3 linked regions of the Struthio camelus genome follow. The main gene of each other region encodes a partner of the protein of the gene in region 3 in a complex. Links are inferred from orthologs where the notes say so. Each region holds a gene or a part of one and is shown on either strand. Other genes may lie near its edges.

Region 1 (7,106 bases), on a different chromosome or scaffold from region 3:
GAAGGTTTCTTGTCCCAATCTGTTCTGAGTGTGTTAATGAGAACAGGTGTTCCTCCCTGAAAAAATCAGACTAGAGAAGGGTGAGGATGCTTAAAAAACACTTCACATTCTTTTTCCCCACTTCCTCTTACTCAGAGGAGCGTCACACCCTTTCAATCATTGTATATTGTCGACCTTGACACTTCGTAAAGCCCTGTTTCACTTTCTAGCCTTTCAGCACTGGGCTTGCTTCACACATTCCTGCTCAAACCCATGCTCTTCTGCTGCCTCTTGACGGAAGAAGCCGCGAAGGCATCGGCTCAGAGGAAGTTGTGGGGTGCCTGAGATTAGAGGCTATTTTGGAGCAGCACAACCTTTGGGGCTGACCCTTTCGACAGCTGAACTGTTCCCTGGAGTTGCTTCGTACCCTCGGCTACCGCTGGCATCAACTGCACTCACGTTCCTGCCTGATCTGCTCAGTGCCGTGGATGGGAAAGGGCCTCTCTTTGCTCTCTGGGCGTTTTTTATCCCTCCAGTTCTCACTGGGACATACAAATGGAGAGTGTCCAACCTATAAGGCCACCTCCACCAGAAGAACATTTTCCGACTTCAACAGGAAAGGCAAAACAGGAATTAAACAATGTTGTATGTGTGCTGAATGTTGCAGGAGCACTGCAGAAGCTCAGATTCTCATTAGCTACGTTTTCCTGTGTAAAACTGCAAATTCACAGCAGAAATAAACACAAACTTCATAGGAATGATGGCCAAGAGCCCTTTCTACAACTCTGCCTGCTTGATACATCATTTATTTCTAATGAAATGGGCTCATCATTTATGTTATAAATCTGATAACAATTAAACGGTAATGATTATTAATGTTCCTTCTCCAGCTGGCTCAGTTAATCTGTTTAGCATAGATTTCTTGAGGGCAGTTTCCTTTCCAGGGAAAGGCCAAACCTCTTCATTTCAGTGACATGAAATAAAACCCTTCTGTTAAAACATTTTAATTCAGCAAAAAATATGCATGTGTTAAATTCATCAGCCTACAACCTAAGGAAACAGGAAGCTGCTTTTATATCAGATATACTCTATGGGTACTGCTCATCTGGCAAATCCCCAGCAGGCTCTAAACTGAATAAGCTAAGAAATGCAGCAAAAGCTGGTTTGTATGTAACACAGCAGGCTGCATTGCCCTTTAGTATGCTATTGTTCATGGAGTTATCAAAACAAGAGTGGAAATGCAAAGAGCTGGAATGTCTGAGCAGTAATTGAGTTCCTACTGAGCCACTGAATCAAGATGACATATTTGTGGATTAGAAAATTTATGTCAGATCACTGTGTGCAGTTTTTACTTATGTATTTATGTCTGCAGGGTGTGAAATTACAGAATCGTAGAAAATACGTCTGGAGTTAGCAGAACTTAGAGAGGTCACTAGTCCGGCCTCTGCTCCAAGGCAGCGTCAGCTCTGCTTATGTCACGGCAGTTAAAGTAAAGCCGTTCAGTTTTGTCACCCAGCAAGCTGAAGTTGCGCAGCTGATTAAATTTTAATCTATGTTAAACAGGAGTGAACCTGGAAAAACTCCTCTGACTCTAAAATTGTTTATATGTTTAACACCAGAGTAACAAAGAGGAGAATCTGACTCAATGTGTGATTAAGGGCCAGATGCAGTCCTCAAAATAGCCAGTGCGCTCGTAGTGAGAGAGGAGATTCAACTAAAAATCTCAGAGCAAACACTCTAAAACTTTAAAATCAAAACCTTTACCTCTAAATCTCGTAGCAAACCCAAAACCCTCAGAAGGAAGCCATGCAGTACTCTACATCCCAGTGTTTACAAGCTCTGCAAGGCATATTTTCATGCCTGCTGCCTATGCATTCGGGCCCTTATTCCCGTTTGAGAAGAAGAAACAGCTACAAGCAAGCGCTAAGGATAAGGCTGTGAAGCGCTGAGAAGTTTCAGCACCGGTTGCCTTCCAACAGGCAGTAGCTCTTACAAGGTGCTTACCTCCTTAATTTTAAAAATATGGGCTTTTATATATGAAGTCAGTGCATTTCTGAAATAAATATTCAAGCATACAAATGACCTTTTGAAACCATTTCTGTAGGGACTATGCTCTTACTGCAAATCTACTACCTGCCCAAAGCCAGGCCAAAGACCTTGCTTTAGAGGAGCCAGTTATTGTGTTGCGGAAGAGTTAAGGCTACGCACCCTGCAGTCTTTTCTCCCCATTCTCAAGGTTAGTCTCATTTCCCTATGGAAGGTCCTTAGTTAAGCGTAGTGAGGTGATGAATCACCGACAAAAAGAAGATTGTGCTTTTCTAAGTTAATGAATAAAAGTGACCTGAATTCAGCTCCAAAATTTCCCTAAGTTTTTCTGTGCTTAGCTCTGGAAAGCCACAGGAGTCATAGGATGAGTCTTTGATAAGGCTGCAGAGGATTTATAGATAAGCTTGCACAGGTAACTGTGAAATCCACACTGAGATCTAAATTAGTCTTTCTAAGCGCAAATACCACTTCCAATGTACTGTAGCAATAGCAGAGACCTTGATAATGAGTTTAGCTTTTATTGTCAAGTTCTCCCTATTTAGCAGAAGAAGAGTTGTTGAATGAAACAAGTTTTAAAAGCTGGCTTTTAAACTGGCTGATGCCTGGCTCTGTGGCATTAATACTACTCATTATTTTCACAGACATGTATGTTAACATTTGTGAAAAAAAAAAATCCAGAAAGTTATAGAGTTGTGCTAACAAATGGCCGGACGTGCTTAGCCATAATGGAGAAGCAGAGTCCAGAAAACTCAGCAGATCTGTGGAGGTTTCCTCTTTGAGTTAAGCTCTGTAGTGCTTGCAGAGAGAAACTCAGCAGTGCTAATGAAAAGAGATTCTTTGCTTGTATGAGGCTCACATTTTGTTGAAATTTGCATGTTCTAACAGCAAAGTGCTACTAAACAGTTTTAGCATGTCTTTTTTGCAAAAACGTTCCCTCATTACCCACCTAATACCTCTGAGCCATTTTAAGTGATGCAAAGGTGAGTTGTGAAGAGTAGTCTGTGGGCCTGTGTGTATTGTCAGTCATTTTTAGACAATCTGACTGGGGGGTGCTGTGATTAAATGACGAGTAAGTGTAACCTGCCAAATCAGATAAATAAGGTACAGAAGAAAATAAAGATTTTAGGAACCATTTGCAAATATTGCAGTCCTCCCTCTGTTTCTGAGCATTTATATGGCCTACAGCACTGAGCCTATTCAGCTCAGACAGCTAGTGTTAATGTTCAGATCAGGAAAGAGGGCTCTGTAGCAAAAATAAACTCAGCAAAAAGTACTTATTACTTGCACTTTACCACTAAATTCTGTGGTGCCAGTGCAGGTGAGCGGTGTCTGCACAGAAGGAATCGAAGCCAAACTTTAAAAGCCGTGTTCTGCTCTTCCCTGACTTGTGCTCACTTTCTGTTCAAAAGGCTTTTTCCAGTGGAGCCCTCGCAAAGCACAGTTTCATAGTTGCAATGTGGGAGATCCTCCTCACCCAAATATATTGAGCTTATCTGCTCCTCTGCATTCAGGGCCTTGTGACCCCAACATTGTGGCAGTGCCTGGAGCTCTTCTCGTGTGCTAGATGCTGTACGAGCACAGAAGAACGGACTTTATCCCAATGAAGTTTCTTTGTAAGTAAAATATAAAGATTGAGCTCTACAATAGTTTTACAATGGGCGGTTCTGTTGTTTTAAAGGGGCTCTTCCTTGCTCTTGGTGCAGAATTCATAGGTTTGGATAGAGGCTCTGTAGAATTTACGCACTAGCTTGAAATCTGCGCGGCAAAAAGTTGGTCATACGTGCCAGAGAAAGTCGGCTACCAGGAGGCAGAAAGAAAGGGCAATTCCTCTCCGAGGAGAAACTTGTCCTATCTCCTAGTGTCCTAGCGCAGAATGTTTACAAAATGCTCATTAAGGGAAAGGGGATTGCGAGATAGCGACGAATCTGGTGAACAGCTTACACTCCACGAGATAAGAGAGGCAAGGCGACCATAGAAGAGAGCAAGCCATATCCAATTACCGAGACCTGGTTTTGGGGAGGGGGAAGGGTGAAGAAAAAGGGAGGGGGCAGGGGGAGAGAGACAGGACGGATCACAAGTTTCAAGACAAGAGCTTCCAAACTTGTCATCTCTCTGTGACACAAGCCGCGTACAACCCAGGGGATAAAACCGCCACTTAGCCCACATGAGAGCTAAAGCCTGTTGAGCGTGGTTGGAGGCTAGAGCGAAGTCATGGATTCTGTAGCTCTTCAGCTGTGGGCTCTCCTCTCTCTCTTGGTTCACCTTGCCTCTTGCAGTCCCATCCTGAGCTTGGAGCACTCTTCCTTGGAGGAAGACGTGCCACTTTTCGACGAGGTCCTCTCCGAGCAGGATGGTGTTGATTTCAACACACTGCTTCAGAATATGAAAAATGAGTTCCTGAAGACATTGAACCTCTCTGACATTCCCCTGCACGAAACGGCCAAGGTGGACCCACCAGAGTACATGCTAGAGCTGTACAACAAGTTTGCCACCGATAGGACGTCTATGCCATCTGCAAATATTATTAGGAGCTTCAAAAATGAAGGTAAGAAATGTGCTTCTCTAGGAGAACTAAATCGGAAAGGGTACTCTTACAGTCAGCGTGAAATAATATTTACCAGGTATGGAGCATGAACAGCACTAGGGGGAAAAAGGCCTTTCAGTGAAGAAGCCATTGGAAATAGGCAACTAACACCACATGTACAAATTTTATGCAGATCCCACTTTTTGTGAGATAGATCCTTTTTCCGTTGCTTTTGAGATTGTAAGGTTTTGAGGGAAGAAGATGTTTCTTTTATATCTGTACAGCACTACGCGTAATTTGGGTGTGTTTTCATTATCCTTGTAATCACACATATCATTTGCAAGAAGCTGGTTGATTTTTAGATGGATACCTTAAGTCAAATTTGAAATTAAGAGGAGAAATATTTTCACATGCCGTTCAAAGGTGCAGTATATGGCTTTCCATATGGCTATCCTTCCGCTATTGATCCTCATGGGGTTTGTAAAGTTTTCTTCCTTTGATGTCTGAGCATAGCCCAGCAAATACATAGAAATACATGAAGCTGAATTTGGATAAACTTTAGGTTTTACTTTGGCAGACTAGAATATTTCCTATTAAAAAAAAAAAGAAGAAGAAGAAGAAGAAGAACTGAAAAAAGACCAGTTGTGAGCTTAGGTGGTTCTCTCTATGTTTCTGCTTCAACATTTTCCCTCAGTTTAATGAGGAAAATATAACATTTCAGTGCTGACATTCAAATGTTTTTGTGTCAGTACCTATTTGCACCAATACAGGTAATATGTTAAAAGTATTTTTCAAGTAATCATTTCCAAACCTGAAATATTCCACTTTGCAAATACAAGTGCTTTGATTCTTTTTAACTACTCGGAGGTACGTGCAACTATTCAAACTGCTGTGGATCTTCTCTCATCCCTCATCAGTGTAATTAATGAATTATAATGCTGATTATTACTTTTTTCTGACATTCACAAATTCAAGATGACAAACTATCAGGAGAAGGCTGCGTACCAGTCATTTTGCTTTGGCAATGCAGTAAGGTGCCAAGACAGGATCCAGCAGTGCTGAACTGTTCTGCACTTCTGTCAGGCCTGGGCACCCTTTACCAGCAACACGTTTCTGGTTTGAAGAGGCCCTGCCTTGCAGTTTAAATCTTCTTTACATATTCTTTTTCTGCGGTGTAGTAATATGACATTACATTTATTGAAGGATTGACAGCAAACCAGTTACACCTGCTGGTGAACTGTTACTCATCTGAACAGCCTTGTCTGTAACTGATCATCAGCATAAATGAAGAAATATGCAGAAACAAATACTGTTCTTTTCTCATATTTCCACTATTCCGGAGAAATAAATCAGATAAAGTTTGGCAAGTACAATATGCTAAAGAACAAAATGCGGTGTGGTTTACTGAGGTAAATCTGCAGCCATTTCACTGGCAAGACTGAAATGGTTCCAGGTTTACAGTACTGAAAATGGTACAGACTGACCTATGGCCGGTAACGCATGCAGCAATTCACGATTCTGTGCCTTTCTGTAAACATTACGGAGATGTTCCATGGCTTTTTCATTGCTGCAGAAGTCTGCACCAGATAGGGTAAGCTTAGTGTAACTTTCTGTCGTTTCTGTGTTCCTCTCGTTTCTAATCCAAAACAGCAGATGCAAGGTGAGACTTGTTAACACATCGCCTTCATAAATGCATACAGTTACAGGGACTGTTGCACTTACTGTTTTTTATCTGTCTTGAAAGTCCATGAAGCTAAGAACCATTCATTTCATGCCTGAGGAGTTTTTTTTGTAGAGAAAGTGAATTACTTTCAATTATCAAGACAGTAGGAACAGAACATATCATGAAGTTTTCAATTCAGCTGCTTATTGAAAATTGGCAGTAACTTTATTTCATTATTATCCATTAAATTCTTTATTAACTTTGTTTTAACTGTAATGAGATTATAGAAATATAACATGCTGCACAGCTGAAAGCGGCTAGTCGTTTTAACCCATGGAGCATAATATCTCTATTGCAAATGGGACTATAATCGCCTACCATTTCTTAAAACTTGAATAAAGGTCTTAAGGTAATTTTTTTTTTCCTATAGACTCCAGATCACCCTTCCTGACCCTGTCAGGGGTGCACCAATAACTGTAAGAGAGATTTCACCCTATGGGTTTCCTAGCTAAAGAGCAAAGCCACATCCTGACTTATAAATGAACACTTCTCGCTCCCTGCTAGCACTCACCCAGCCTCTTACAGATGGTGTGGCCTTCCCCTCCTTCCTGGTGAATTACTTGAGCTCATCTTCTAGATGGTCCGGTGGCATTTCTCCACCCTACTATCGTCTGTAATGACTGCAGACTTGCTTTAGCATGCTGAGAGTTAGGAAATAGCAAAGGTTTCTTCCCGTTGCGAGGTTATGGCTGAAGCACTCCTGTGCTTGAGTAGCACTGCCTTTTAGCCTGCAGTCCATCCCACCCTGGAGCATATTCAACTCCCACCTTCATCAGTTGATGGGAAGAGAGAAGCAACCAGAATTGCTCTTTGTTTTTTTGTTTATGAATGGAT
Region 2 (7,119 bases), about 22 Mb from region 3:
CTTATGACTCAATCAATAGGCCATGCTCTCTGAGCAAGATTAGAAACCAAATGGCACATTTCCTTCTGTTAACCCTGTCTGCTTTCCCTGTAGGGTTTTCTGCCTGAAAGCATCTCAGGTTTGCTTGAGTTCTCTTCTAGGAGGAAAGCCAGAGATAGTCCATTGTTTGAGAGCTGCCTTCAGAATTGCGTTGGACAGACTTTAAACAACAATAGCATTTATTGGCATATTTGTTTGTTAGTAATTGCTATATAAGATAAGCCTCTCAATATTTGAATATGCAAAAAGTCCTTAGCTAACCCCCACCCCCCAAAAAGATTACTATATTTAAAAAAGAAAATCTCTACCCTGCTCAGAAATACCTTCCCAGTTTCATTATCTCCACTGAAGACATGATTTTTGCCTCTTTGGCGTTTCATTTTCACTGGGGCAATGAAAGTGGTTGTTTTCAAAGGGAGAAGGACTGTGTTTGCACCTATTTCTTGTTTGACAGTGACCTCTGTGAACCAGTCATCACTGCTCTGCCTGTTGTTTTCTTGTTAGCTCTTTGCTGTCAAATTAATTACTGTGAAGTACTAAGCTTGTTGCATTCACGTGCTCTTATTAGCTTACAGGATGTCAGAGTGATTGGATTTTTAGCCTTATTTCTTTTTTTACATTCTAGGCTTTCCATTCAAAACCTGTTAATGGCAGGGAGGAAATACTGTATCTAAATCTGATCTCACATCAGGGTAGCTGCACTGATACAGAGAATTTACTTTGATTTACGGTGCCATGTATGAAATTAGATTGTGTTTGTATTAAAAACAACACAAACAATCAGATTGGGATTGTAATATGATTTGGAACAACAGCATTAAATGCTTGTCTGTGCTTTTGCAGTACAAAACAAGAAAAAAAATACATGATAATATGGAGTAGCATTTGTCCCTTAAATTCTTAAATCACGCTAACAATCTGATCCTCCAGCTGACTCTCTTTATGCTCTTGTCTTGCTTGCATTGGTAACAGCAGAGCTCACCACTACATGTGTGTGCAGTCGAGAGATACGTAAGTTTTATTCTTCTTTTAAAAACTGAAATGCACAGCAAAAGTTTAAGGGGCTTCTTTGGTGTCATGCAGAAAACGTGTGCGTCCGGGTTCTGCCCCTTGAAAACCAGGATTCGGCGCAATGAAAAAAAGATGAAGGTTTTTAGATTTGTTTTCATTCTGTAAATTATATTTTCGTTCGTTGGAAAAACCCACGTAATCAGAAATAGTGGCTCGGCTGCCTGAGCACACACCTGGGCAGTGGGAGGCTCAGGCCAAAGCTGCTCCTTTGCTTAATTCGGAGCGCAGATTTGGGCGTGCATCTCCCCTTTCCTAGGCAAACCCGACCCGGCTCCCACCAACGGCTGCAGCAGCAGCGGCGCGGCCGCGGGTGCCCGGCGCGATGCAGCGCAGGGGCGCTGCCCCCCGCCCCGGCAGCGCCCCTCAGCCTTTGCCCCCGCCCTCGCCCTTCGCCCCCCGCGCCGCGCCGCGCAGGCTGCAGCGGAGCCTCCGCGGCGCCGGGTCCGCTCCTGCCGCAGGCCGGGCTCCGGCGCGGCGCTCCGCCCGCTCAGCCTCCGCGGCCGCGGACTGCAACGCGGCTCCCGACCCGCTTCCCCGGCGCCCGCGGCGCGGCGCTGCGCGGCTCTGCGCGGCGCCGCCGCCCGCTCGCGGCGCGGCCCAGAGGGGGCGCCCTTTGCCCAGGCTTCCCCGCCGGCGGCGGCGCGCAGCGGCCGCGGGGTAGCGCGCAGCGGCCGCGGCTCCCCGAGCGCCGCGTCCGCCCCCGCGGGCCGCGCCGGCGGAAGGGGACGGCGCGGGGGACGCCTGGCCGCGGCCTGCCTGCGCGGTGCTGGGGGTGCGAGGGCGCTGTGCCGCGGAGGGGCGCGCAGCGCGGCTGGCTGCAGCGCCCGCGGACCGGGTCCGGCGAGAAGCGGGCGGGCTGCCCCCGGCTCTGCCCCGGGCGGCCGGGCGTCGGGGGAAACCTCTCCTGACCTCGCTGCGGGGGCGGACCGCAGCCCTGCGCCCCCCCCCCCCCACGGCGCTGGGGCGGCCCCCACGCAGCAGCGGGAGGAAAACGCGCTCCCCCGCCGCGGGCAGCGCGATGTTCCCGTTATCTCCGCTCCGCGCAGCCCCGGCGGCTGCCTCGCCGCGGAGCCGCCCCCCCCCCCCGGGACCGCCCGCCTCCCGCCGGGCTGCGCACCCCTCCTGCCCCACGGAAAACACAATGCCCGGCACCCGCCCCGTTCAGACAAACAAACAAACAAAAACCCACCCCGTCGCAAAGCCAACCCGCCGGTAAACTTTCTAATGACTTCTTCTGTCAAGGGCGTAAAAGGGGCGCACCGAGGGCTGCCTCCGTCCGTGCGCGGTCCGTGCGCGCCGCCCGGGTGCCGGGCCGCGGCCGGGCGCGGTGCGCGGTGGGTGTGTTTGAGGAACCGCCAGGGAGGGAGGGGACGGGGGGAGTTAAAGAAACAGCATAGTTAATATTTCCACATCGGGAAGTTACTGTAATAGCCCAGGGGGCAAAAGACTTAACTTAATCTCCTAAATAGTGAGGAACCCATGGCGTCTCTGTTATAGGTTGGAGTTCCCACGTGGTTTTAACTCCTGTATAAAAGTTTCAGTAGAAAGTGCCACAATGTCGTGATTTTGCAGGGGGGGAAAATTAGCAGGAGGAGATCAGAGGAAGATAAGCGAGGAGCAAGCCGCTTCCCCGAGACCTTCCACTGCGGATCCGAGAGAACATCAGACGCGTTAAAAACAAAACAAAACAAAACACAGCGTTCAAGCCAGCACAAGGCGAGCGAAAGATCAAAAAGACGCGGAAAGAGAGAGGGAGAGAGACAGACAGATTAACTGGAGCAGCAGCAGCAGCAACAACAACAACAAAAACAACAAAAATCACACTTAATAATAATCATAATAATAATAATAATAATACCCCAAACCATCAACAAGGGAGATACTGTTTAAAAAGAGCGAGCGAGGGAGCGAGCCGAAGAGCTGGTCTGACCGAGTGGATCCGTGCAGCTACTCCTGGGAGCACCGGGACCGCGCCGACTCCGCGCTCGGCGGCCGCGCGGGGCCGCGCCCGGGACCCCGCCGCAGCATCCGCGCCGGACTCCGCACCCTCCGCGCTGATATTCAAATAAAGCATATCTCTAATAATAACCTGGCGGGGTGAAGAAGACTCGCAACCGTGGATCTGCTAGCCGTATACCTCCTCTCCGCTACCCCCCACCTCCCCGCGCCTCTCCTCCCAAATTATGCTCCAGGTCAACTTTGATCGCACGTTGAGAAGCAGCAGGCGCTAAGGGCAAACTACCGAGCCGGAGAGGAGCGGAGCCGACCTGCACCCACGGCCTGTGGATTGTTGTCTTGCGGGGGCGGAGTGGGCGGGGGGGTACAAGCAGCATTTCTTCCCCCCCCCCTCTTCCCCGGCTATAAATTGGATTGTGTATAAATCTGCTCCGTTTATCTCCCCGATCCCCCTCCATGACGCCGGACTGAGGAGCGGCTCTCGGCGGCCCGCCCGGACGCTGGCGAAGCGAGCGATGGACCAGGAGCGGCGGCGCTCGGGGATGCCCCTGTGAAGCGGCGCCGGGCTCCCGGGGCAGCTCGGCGGCGCCTCCTCCCTGCCTGCCCGGCTCCCCTCGCAGCCTCCCGGCTCGCCCGCCGCTGCCCCCGCCCTTCTCCCCGGCCGCCGCAGCCACCCCCTCACCTGCTGCCGGCCCCCTCCCCCGTGGAGCCGGGCTCGCCGTGCGCGCCAGCCCGCCGCCCCCCCCCCACCCCGGCTTAGCCCTCGGTGCCTGCGTGGGCAGCCTCCCCCCCGGCGGCGCGCACCGCTCGGCCGGCCGCCCCCTCCCTGCGGCCCGGCTCCCCCCCGCCGCGGAGCGGTTGCGGCCCCCCGGCTTGGCTGCCACCGCCCCCTCCGCGCCGCGGAGCGCACGGAGCGGCGCTGCCTGCAGACGGGCTCCCTGCGGCGCATCGCGGCGGCCCCCAGCTCGGCCCCCCGCTCCTCCGCCATGGACGGGGCGGCTCGCCGGGGGGTGCTGGCCGCGCTGCTGGCCTGCGGGCTGCTGCTGCTGCTGCTGGGCGCCGAGGCCACCCCGACCCCGCCGGCCCCCGCCGGCGGCTCGCCGCAGGACACATGCACCTCCTGCGGCTTCCGGCGGCCCGAGGAGCCGGGCAAGGTGGACGGGGATTTCCTGGAGGCGGTGAAGAGGCACATCCTGAGCCGGCTGCAGATGCGGGACCGGCCCAACATCACGCACGCCGTGCCCAAGGCGGCCATGGTCACGGCGCTGCGCAAGCTGCACGCCGGCAAGGTGCGGGAGGACGGCCGCGTGGAGATCCCCAGCCTGGACGGGCAGGCGAGCGCCGGGCCCCCGGCCCACGACCCCGTCTCCGAGATCATCAGCTTCGCCGAGACAGGTGGGCGCCGCCCTGCCCCTCTTGCCTGTCCCCTCCGTGTCCCGCCTGTCCCCCTGCCCGTGCCCCTGCCCGTCTTGCCTCTTCCCCTGCCTTTCCTGCTTGTCCTCTGTCTGCCCTGCCACCCTCCCTGCCTGTCCCCCGACCATCCTCCTGCCCGACCCCTGGCAGTCACCCTGCCCGACCCCCTGCCCGCCTTGCCGGCTCCTTTCCTTTCCCTGTCCGTCGCCCCGCTGACCCTGCCTGTCCCCCTGCGAACCCTGCCTGCGCGCTCTGCCTGTCCCCCTGCCTGACCCCGGCCGTTCCCTTGCCCGTCCTTGCCTGTTCCCGCGGCCTGTCCCCCTGCTCGCTGTGGGCACCCGGCTGCTGGGCTCGTCTGCATGTCCCCCACCTCTCCCGCTCTCCCTTCTGCCCTGCACCACCTTGCCCTGGCCCTGCCTGCCCCTTTCCGTCCTCTCCATGTGCACCCCTGTGCCCAGCTGCACCCTGCAACTCCAGCTGTCACCTGGCCTCCTTGTCCCTGCCTTCTCCCCCGCAACCCCGCTAGCTGCACCCGCTGCTTGCCTTCAGGCCCTGTGCGTCCCACTGTCCCTCCTCCGCCTGTCCCACTCCATCTCCTGCATCCCTCGCCTCGTCTGTCTGCCCTGCACGTTCATCTGGTTCGTTGCATGCGTCCGTCTGTTGAGACGTTCCTTCGCCTTTCCTCCCTTTCCATTCATTTCCCATTTATTTAGCTTTTGTTCGCAGTGTTGGCCTTGCCTGTCTGTCCACTGCGTGCAGCTTCCTGCCCACGACATGTCTACCCCTCTCTGTCCACCCATTCGTTTACAAACTGTGCCATCCATCCCTCCGCAGTATCGGCCATCTCTGTCCGATCCGGCCATTGCAGTTACGTGTCAACTGGATCCCTTCAGCCCAGCTTCCCATCCGTTTATGCAGGCAACCGCTGTGTCTGTGAACTTTGCACATCTGGCCGTTAACACCATCACTCTGCAAATTAGCTCTCTCTTGTCTATCTGCCCATCTCTCCTTTCCTTCATCAGTCTGTCACTCAGTTCATTGCTTTCTCTATCTTCCTGTGGCATCTATATCTCATTTGTCCACAAAATAAATCTCTCTCTATTCTGTATACTGCCCACTCATCTTCTTTATCTACCCTCCCACCCAAAGCATATACATTTACAGTATCTGTGGGATCTGTTGCATTACACATATGCTTGTTATATTCACATACAAAATTTATGGGCACACACGTTCTCGTACAACACAAGTAATGTGTATTGGTGCAACAACACTGTACTGTTCTTTTTCTGTCACTGTCATCACAGTTTATAAAGAAGTTGTGTATTTGCTAACGTACGGACGGTTTTCTCAGCATGTATTTTTGGTTTTATTATGCTTTAATAGGCCGTTGTTACGAGATCTGTGGTAGGCTTGTAGTTCCATTTGGTATTCAGTTAATTGCTTGCCTTTGTAACACTTCCAAATCTACTCTATGTAAAACATAGGCAGACACAGTGAAAATTTTTGTCCCTGAAATATTACAAGGTACCAAATGGGCCCTGGAGGCACATTTGAACGGCATCTAGAGTAACAAATGAGGACACTGACTACGTAAAAAATCCCATTCAGAGGCTGACAAAAATGATAAAGATTCTTAGGAAAACAAAAAGAAGAACAATCTGCGTTTGGCTCAGTACGGAAAGAAGTCAAACGGATAAGGGCAGATGAGAAAATGCCTTTCCTGCAATAATTTTGAGTAGCCATCGGGAGGGTTCGATTCAAGCACCAGAATTACAGCCTCCATTGGAAAGGCCAGCTTGCACATTTATCACCTACGCCAAATTTAGTTAGGACTTACAGTACAAAATTCCAGCAAGGACACCGGTATTTCTGAAACATTTCATGCAGCAGACTCTTTTGTTTACAAATAATGGGTTATGTCAGGCATTTGGTGACATTTGGTTTACTGTGATAATTTCACTCATTTAATTCTGGTGTTACTGAAAAGTATATTGAGAACAGTCAGTAATGATATTATGATGACAGCAACTGCTTCATTTGATCGCCTAGTGTGTGAGTTTATTTTTACGGGGGAAAATGCAAAGGTTGAAATTATTAATAGCAGATATTCTGCCAGTCTAAGCGGGGCATAGCTTAATTTGTTGAACAAGCAGGTTCGTTATTGAATGTTTTTTCCCCTCGATCTTGTGAACCCTCTCTGTTAAACTGAGACAAGAATATGTGAAAACTGAAACAAAATCCCTTGTTTGGCATTGACCTTTCAGTGGTTACTAAAGAGACTTTTCCTGTGAAAATCAGTGGATATCTGAAAGTTAAAACTATTCTTAAACTGACAAGATAGGAAAGTACAAATGCTGGTCTTTTCAAGGTACAGTTGTAACGTCTTTAAAGCTATCTAACTGGACAAATCTAGTATTCTGGAGAGCCTTTACTGGTTTCTGTGGATCTGACACGTTCAACTGTAGCCCGATTATGAACGTTACTGTGGGAAGTCCCTTTTCAATTCATTTCTATTACAAATTCTGGATATCTGATTCAGTGCATGCCTTCTGGCTGGTGCAGTCTTTTAGCTCTTTTGATCAGCTGCGTTCTAGTGTTGTTTCTGAATCCAGAATTGCACAAAAGCTACATTTTCTT
Region 3 (7,246 bases):
TGCTGCTCTTTTCTGTGTTTCAGAGACAAAGGGGGAAGAAAAAAAAAAAAAAAAGACATAATAGTCTTCAGACGGGCTTTTTTGAGTCCAAAGGCCAAAAGTAACGTCTGGCACAGATTATCTGACTGGACTAAAGGGGAAACGAGTTCCCTCCGAGGCAGGAATTCAGTCTGCCGTTTCCTTAAAGCTGTGGGTCGGCTGGCGAGAGCGAGAGCCTGCTCTGCCACGTGCTGCCGCCACCGGAGGCTTGATGGGTTTATCTCCCATCTTGGCAGGACAGACAGGGCTGTCGCTGGTGGTGCTTTTCCTTCCTGTGAAGAAAACCGGAAAGTTTCCCTCACAAAGGATTTTTCCAAGGTTTTGGGCGGTCGTTTCCCCCGTGGGCTGCGATGCCCCCATCCCGGCTATTTGCCGCCTTGGTGTCCCTCTTTGGAGGAGTCGGTTTCCTCAAGGCGAAGCCGAGCCCCGGAAAGGGGATGGAAACCAACCCCCTCCGTTCAGACCAGGTGACGGTGGCGCTGGAAAATCTGTCCGCCCTAGAGAAAGGCACTTCTGGATCCAGATCACTCCTGAAGTCCCCGGGGTGTTCACTATTTCTCCTTTAATGACGGTCTTCCCATAGCCACCCTCGTTTTTGTGACCTTTCACTCCCGGGGGAATAATGGGGGCGTCTCGGTGCGACACCCCGGATTTGAAGCCGATGGGAAAAATCTGTGTGAAATAGGTAGCCCGATACCTACAATGGCAACAGCGTCTGTGTGTGATTACTTGTTTAGCTGCAATGGCTGAAGCTTTTCGCTGCTAACTCAGCAGACTGCAAGGAGCAGACAGTATTGTCTTTTTGGCTTGTTCTGGCTGCAGTTCAGGATGTTAATAATAATCTGGAGAGCTATGTAAGCCTGGGATGGCAGCTATCGGCAAGCCCCTCTCTCTCGATGCGCTGCTGCAGGAGGTGAGATCAGGGAAGATGATCTTGCTGACAGGTTCCTAATTTAGCAATGAGTGGCAGGCGTTTGCAGCGGAGACCCACACCAAATCCATTATTTATGAAGATACTGCCTGGGGTCCAGGATGGGAGTATTTATTTGTAGGAAAGTCTGTGAACATCTTGATTGTTATTGTTTTAAGGTTTGTTTATGCATCACCGTCAACGCTATGGGGATGCTTTGTTTTTAAAGAAACAAAAAATCTCTTAAAAACAAAGCACCGGGCAGTGTTGTTGTCCTCTCTCCCCAGCATTTATGACAGCATTGAGAGAAACACCCTGGGCAGGCTGATGGGCAGCCAAGTAAAATTTATAACTTATTTTAAAGAGATTTGTTGACATCATGAAAGGCCTTGTCAAAAAGAGCACTCCCCCGAGTCCTAACAACGATAATGGCTGTATGGCGTCAGCACTGAAATACTCTTGGATAACAGCGAACCTATCCCGAGAAATATTTGCAATGTTCCTGAAAATTGTGTTTTCTAAAAAGGAATAGGGCAGGTTGTTTTGGTTTTCTTAATGCTTTGATTTTATTTTCCACTGATTGGAATATTCACTTGGAAGCACAAAAGTAAGATTTTCTATATGCTGGGTAATTAAAAAAAAAAAGTGTTGTTTAAAGGAGACACTGCTAACAAGGACACGTGTAATTACTGTCATGTACAATCTTGAATTTGCAAGTGATACCAATATGTTTGCATGTGCATCGGTATGACAGCAGGAAATATCTGAGGTATACATCCGCCTTATTTCCCACTTCAGCGTCTCACTCGAGCATGGAAGCAGCGTAAAGGGCAGCTCCAGTAAACTGGATGCGGCCGTGTCATTTAAAGCTCCCTCGCCCCGGGGCAAGACAGACGTGCCCTGCAGCGGAGGTGGTGCACATCAGCCTGACATCTCAGGGAGCTCGCAAACGCGGTAGCCTGGCGCCGGCGTCTCTGCCCTCCTCGTGCCCTGCCTTGAACGCGCGCCCTCGTCCTGCCTGCTTGCGAGCACCGCGGATGATAGCTGCGAAAGGGTAAGGCCTGTTCTCCTATCCCTATTTTTTTTTTTTACAGTCTTTTCAAATTAAGTTCAATCTTGTTGTTTCACGGGGCTAAGTTCTTCCTGGTGGAAATACAGTGCTTCAGCAGAGCATCTTCCTTTGAAATCTTGGTAAGTTTTAGGAGGTTTTCTTGGCCTTCTCTCTCCTATCCTTGTTTGGACCAACGCTGAATATTTAAGTTGCTGCAGCTTGGTAAGTTTTCATTATTCTAAGTATTTTTCTGTCGGTCTCATTTGGCATCGCTGCACATTAGGCTAATGAAATGCTAGCATACAGTTAAAACAATATCAAAGAAAGAATGGTAAATATGCCTTTGTCCAAGCAGATAGCAATAAGTGAGCCTGGGAATGACAGTTTAGGTCTCTGGTTTCCTCCCACCACTGTGGGAAAAGGAAGCTGCCTCTGTGCTTAGACAGCAGCAACTGCTTCCTGCGTCTGCGTGGCAAAAGGGGCGTTGGTGCATCCTGGGGCCGGAGAACCGGGGCTTCGGCAGCCCCACGGCTCCGGCGCCCACGCTGCACAGGAAGGCACCTGGCCCCGGGCAGGGGCAACGTCTTCCAAAAACTCCTCAGGGTTAGGTAGGGAAGGAGGCAAAAGCCTTGCAAGGTGCTGGGGACGTGGGTCCAGGAGATCAGACCAAGGCCCTCACCCAGGTGAGGGCTCAAGCTCAAGCGAAGCAGATCCACAGCTGCGGTGAGGTCTTTTGCAGGCCCATGCATCTTCTGGGTCAGGGCCTGTGTTTGTCTGAAGCTGTGAGGAAATTACTGTATTAAAATTGGCCTAAGCCTTGTTTCTTCTTTACAGAGAAACAAAACACAACAAAAACCCAATCCGCTCTCTGGAGAGAAAAAAAGAAAAGTAAGTATTTTAAGGCATAAAACTATTTTATGTGATTCCTTGTGAAGAAGTGCCAATATTAATTAACGGTCCAAAACTACAGCTATTAAAACCAGAGGGAATTTTGTCTTTACTTCAGGATGAGCCAGTTTCAATACATGTCATAAACAATTACTGTAATTTTCTTTTAACCATCCAAACAGTGAAAGTGCTGCGTAACCCGCCTGGTTACGTTCTTGTTTTCCACGAACAGAGTCGATCTGGCTGCTTTCACGGGCGGAAAGCGCGTTGCACAGTTAGGTGTCTGCACCAAACTAAACGCTGGATTTTCCGCCCCGCGGAAAATACTCCCGTGTCGGTGTGCTGTCCTCTCTCGGGGGCAAAACCTGTTGTTTGGCTGGTTTCTAAAGGTTATTTCTTGACAGTTCACGTTCCCCACACAAGAGGAAGGATATGGTGGTTAGCATGTGGTTACAATTCTGGCGAGTGGCAATACCAGTTACCATCTAGGATTCCCTCTGTCATCCTCCCCCATCCCCCCCCCCCCAAATATCCACGGTAAATCTGCATGGATTAGGAGTAAAAACAGGGTGACCAGCTCTTAAAAATCGCGGGTAGCTGTCAGCCGCGCGACCTTCAGCTCCGACGTTAGCAAGGTCAGGCCACGCCGCGTCCGGCCGGTGTAGCACAGGTCGTGCTAGGCTTGATTTTAATTATTCTGTTAATGATTCTGCTGCGAAGGCGAGCACCAGGCCTCAAAAAGCAGCAACGCAGCGTAACAACATGGAGGCGCGGGCGGGGCGCTGCGGGGCCTTTCTCTACCTGCCCGGAGGCCTACCTCTATGGTCGGCGCGAAAGGGGGGGGCGGGGGCGGGGCCCGGGCGGTGCGCGGCGCGGCCGTTGGGGAGGGGGCGGGGCCGGGGCGGGGCGCCCGCGGGCCGGGCGCCGAGACTGGCAGTTGGAGCGACTCCCCTTTGTGTCTGGTGCGGGAGCCGTTGGGGCCGTTGGGGCGGGAGGGGGCGCGAGCCGCGGCGGGGGCCGCGCGGCGCAGCGGAGGCGGCGGCGGCGGCGCCCTCCCCGGGGCTGGGAAGGAAGGAGGCGGCGCGGAGCTGCCCCTCGCCGGCGGTGGCAGCGCGGAGAGCCGCGGGGAGGAGGAGGAGGGAGCTCGCGCCTCGCTCGCCGCTGGAGCCGCCGAGGAGCGGCCTCGCCGCCGTCGGGGCGGCCGCGGGGGCAGGGGCGCGCGGCCGAGCCCGCAGATGGGCCGCGGTGCCGCCGCGGCCCTCGCCGTCAGCGCGGCCGCCTCCCGCCTGGCCGCGCAGCGCCTCGGCGCGTCTCTCCTTCCCCAGGCGCGGAGCGGAGGGAGGAAGGAAGAGCGAGACCTTTAACTGGGCGGGATGCCCCTCTGCCTCGAGCCGTTGGAGCTTGCTGGCGGCGTCCTGAGGCGAGCGTGAGGCGGCTGCTAGAACTGACGGTCGTTAGACGTTTCCCCGCGCCTGGATATGTTCGCTCCTACACCCGGCTGTTTCTTTGATATCGTGAAGCTGCGTGGGAAATAAGCTCGGTTCCCAGAGCGAATCGCGAGAATCGCCCCTTCCCTGGGAGAAGGGAAATGCCTTTGGGCTTGCAGGCAGAAACGGGCTTTCCCCCCGTTCCCCAGAAGAAGCGTTGCCGCTTCCCGAGACATGAAGGCAGCCTGGTGTAATGGAGTAAGAGCAGCAGCGGCCCCTCTCCTCTGCCGTTTGCCCTTCCAGACTGGATTGTAAACCGGGAGAGTTCAGCAAGGCTGTTTGAAAAAAGAGAGAGAGAGGAGAAAAAAAAAAGAGGAAATTCCTCTTGTCGTTTTTATTCTGTTATTTTTCCTCCTTCTGCCTCGGCCCTTGGCTTCCCCAGGTATGACTGCCTCACTGCAGCACCTTTTGCTGGTGCTCCTGCTCTCCAGTGCCACCCTGCTGCTCAGCACTGCGGCTGGTAAGTAGCCGGGGGGGGGGTACTGAACTAGCCATTTTGGCACGGGGAAGGGGGTGGGGTCCGCCGGCATTTGCACCCGTCTGGGTCTGCTGAAGGAGCGGCGTGCATGCATGCATGCATGTCAGCCGCCGAGCCCGAGGAAAGTTCCTCAATCCCGATACCTTAACCGTCTTTGAAAATAAAATCTGCTTTATTGTGTAAACGAGCTCGACCTGCGTTCGAGATGTGTGTTTTGTCTGGATCCGCTTCCCTTGTCTGATAACTTGCTTCAATTTTGGAAAAAAATATATAATCTTTTTGTTTTGCATACCTAGCCCTTTGTAAGGTAAAGCAGGGATTTTTAATATATATTTTAATCGGCAGCGGAGCTGTGCCTGTTTTGCTGTGGGATCTTTTGGGCACAGCCATTTTTAATTTTATCAGCATCGCTGCTTTTAGGGGCCTTAAACATGTGCTGCAGTTTTATGACAGACTTACTAGGACACATTTCTTTTCTTGGGGGAGAAGTTTGAAACAAAAACGTGGCGATTTCTATTGTCATTTGTGATTACGGAATAGTAACAAAAACGCTGTTGAAGAATACTGAAAGATCTTCAAGTCAGTGTTCTTTTTTAACAGTGACTTAGAGGCGTGTGTTCTAAGAGCATCCTTATGCTTATTTGGGGGCGTTTAGGTCCGCTTTTGATGTTGCTTGGAGGCTCAGTGTTAGATACATAGGATATTTGAACATGATATTGGAAGAGAGATCAGTATTGCACTGGCATCCTTTGGTTTTCTGTCATGGTGACTGATGAGCACGTAGGAGCTTTCTGAGTGTTACCAGCTTTGTTAGGCGCTAGGACTGATTCTTCTCAGTGTATATGTTTTCAGCAGTTCTGGAAGACTCTTAGGATTTTGGCATCTTTTAATAATCAGGAGCTAATTTTGAATGCCCACTCTTGTCAGCATTGTTTTTGCAATCTGATGTGCCTAGTTCATAGATGAATCCTTATGGGAAAATTGCTATATCTTGCTAAGGTGACCTAATAAGATGATGGTAGTTTCTGTATTACATTCTAGTGATTTGTTTTAATTGAATTATTATCAGTGTTGAAAATACTCGGTGTCATTATTTGGAAAAGCCTGTCCATTAGACATGTTTAGGTAGTTTCTTTATTGCTCTGACAGTCCCTGATTTCCTCACTTCTGCTTTTTTTAAGAAGTCTCTTTGGGGAAGATATTAAAATGAAATGATTGACTTTGCCTACATCAGCCTGACCTTTGACTGTTGATATTTTAGACTGATACCTGCTCTATCTGTCTGTGATAATTTCTTCAGAGTTTTTTTTTTTTGGGGGGGGGGGCGTTTTTTGAAAAAGGGACTTTTGAAGGTCGAAAGCCTTTGTATTAAAGTGTGGATGAGTCAAGAACGCCAAGTATCTAACCTTTTCTCTTAAATATAATTTTTAAAAAGCGTGGGCTTTTTTTCAGTTTGGAAAAACTTCAGTGAATTGGTAATTCCTTTATTCTGATGAGGGAGAAGGGCTACTGAAGGAGAGGCAGTGCCGATTTGAACCAGGCCAAGGGCTGGGCAGGTGCAGTACGAGCTCAGTTGGACGGTTTTGCCCGTTCACCTCAATCCTGACCTGTCAACAGCATTCCTATTATTTCAGTTCTGGTTTTGTTTTGTAAAAAGAGTATTAATGATGCCAGCTTGTTTAGTTGTCTTGTGAACAGAAACCGGTTTTCCCATTGTGATTTATTTCTTAATTGTGAAATTGTAACAATCTGTGTTATAAAGCCTGGGTCATAATCCTCTGTAAGAGTAATTATATGAATGATTTGAGCTTTACTTACAGTCAACCATTAGTAACTTTAAGTTTATACTACATTTCAGAAACAAATGGCTATACATGGGGAAGCTACACTAATGTGTAATTCTGCCCTTTTATGTTCATGAAAGAGCCAACACTATTTCTTCTCTTCCCCACCCCTCCCCCTGAAGTATGAACTGTATACTCACATCACGGTGAAAATGCTGGCTTTATAGCTTTGAAAACCTCGGTTAACTGCTACTTCTCATTAGTGACTAGATCCTGTGTCTCAGCACTATATAAAATTGAGTGTTGATAAACGCAAAGAGGGAAAGTACTTGCATAGATTGGTAAATTTCCGTCTCAGGAAGAACGCTGAGACATCCTTGAGGTAGCTCACCAAAGCCCTGCACTCAAAATATGGTCAGGAAAGGAAGGCTGCTGAAGTGCATGAAGAAAGAAAATCATGTAGTGGGGCTGTTGATGACTGTTTCGCTCATAATCTGGAGCATGAATGAAGATGGGATGTGGTTCTTCCTTCACCTTGGCAATCAAAGCTATAAAGAATTAACTTTAGATTCAGATTTTATTTTTTTCTGATTATTAGAGGAAAAGTAA

Evidence for each region.
Region 1: the proteins of BMPR2 (region 3) and BMP10 are in contact, whole or in part, in a crystal structure (PDB 7PPA), measured with the Homo sapiens proteins. The link is inferred for Struthio camelus from reciprocal best matches to the Homo sapiens genes BMPR2 and BMP10. Residues at the interface, in NP_001195.2 of Homo sapiens: Asp38, Ser64, Tyr67, Leu69, Lys81, Cys84, Trp85, Ser86, Ile88, Gly89, Asp90, Pro91, Gln92, Glu93, Thr103, Thr104, Pro105, Pro106, Ile108, Tyr113, Phe115; in NP_055297.1 of Homo sapiens: Tyr329, Lys333, Asp338, Ser339, Trp340, Ile342, Ala343, Pro344, Pro345, Gly346, Tyr347, Glu348, Glu395, Pro396, Ile397, Ser398, Ile399, Leu400, Leu402, Val407, Tyr409, Phe411, Ala417.
Region 2: the proteins of BMPR2 (region 3) and INHBB are in contact, whole or in part, in a crystal structure (PDB 7U5O), measured with the Homo sapiens proteins. The link is inferred for Struthio camelus from reciprocal best matches to the Homo sapiens genes BMPR2 and INHBB. Residues at the interface, in NP_001195.2 of Homo sapiens: Tyr40, Tyr67, Leu69, Val80, Lys81, Trp85, Ser86, His87, Ile88, Gly89, Asp90, Gln92, Ile108, Gln109, Tyr113, Phe115; in NP_002184.2 of Homo sapiens: Phe309, Asn318, Asp319, Ile322, Ala323, Pro324, Gly326, Tyr327, Tyr328, Thr379, Met380, Ser381, Met382, Leu383, Phe385, Asp386, Asn390, Ile391, Val392, Lys393, Asp395, Ile400.

What each region holds. Positions count from the first base shown.
Region 1 is NC_090968.1:2,685,129-2,692,234, reverse strand, and holds the start of BMP10 (bone morphogenetic protein 10), read left to right. Parts: upstream 1-4,085; 5' UTR 4,086-4,236; coding exon 4,237-4,570; intron 4,571-7,106. UniProt on the Homo sapiens protein: Required for maintaining the proliferative activity of embryonic cardiomyocytes by preventing premature activation of the negative cell cycle regulator CDKN1C/p57KIP and maintaining the required expression levels of cardiogenic factors such as MEF2C and NKX2-5.
Region 2 is NC_090947.1:32,194,635-32,201,753, forward strand, and holds the start of INHBB (inhibin beta B chain), read left to right. Parts: upstream 1-4,052; coding exon 4,053-4,461; intron 4,462-7,119. UniProt on the Homo sapiens protein: Inhibins and activins inhibit and activate, respectively, the secretion of follitropin by the pituitary gland.
Region 3 is NC_090947.1:9,922,685-9,929,930, reverse strand, and holds the start of BMPR2 (bone morphogenetic protein receptor type-2), read left to right. Parts: upstream 1-4,153; 5' UTR 4,154-4,759; coding exon 4,760-4,835; intron 4,836-7,246. UniProt on the Homo sapiens protein: On ligand binding, forms a receptor complex consisting of two type II and two type I transmembrane serine/threonine kinases.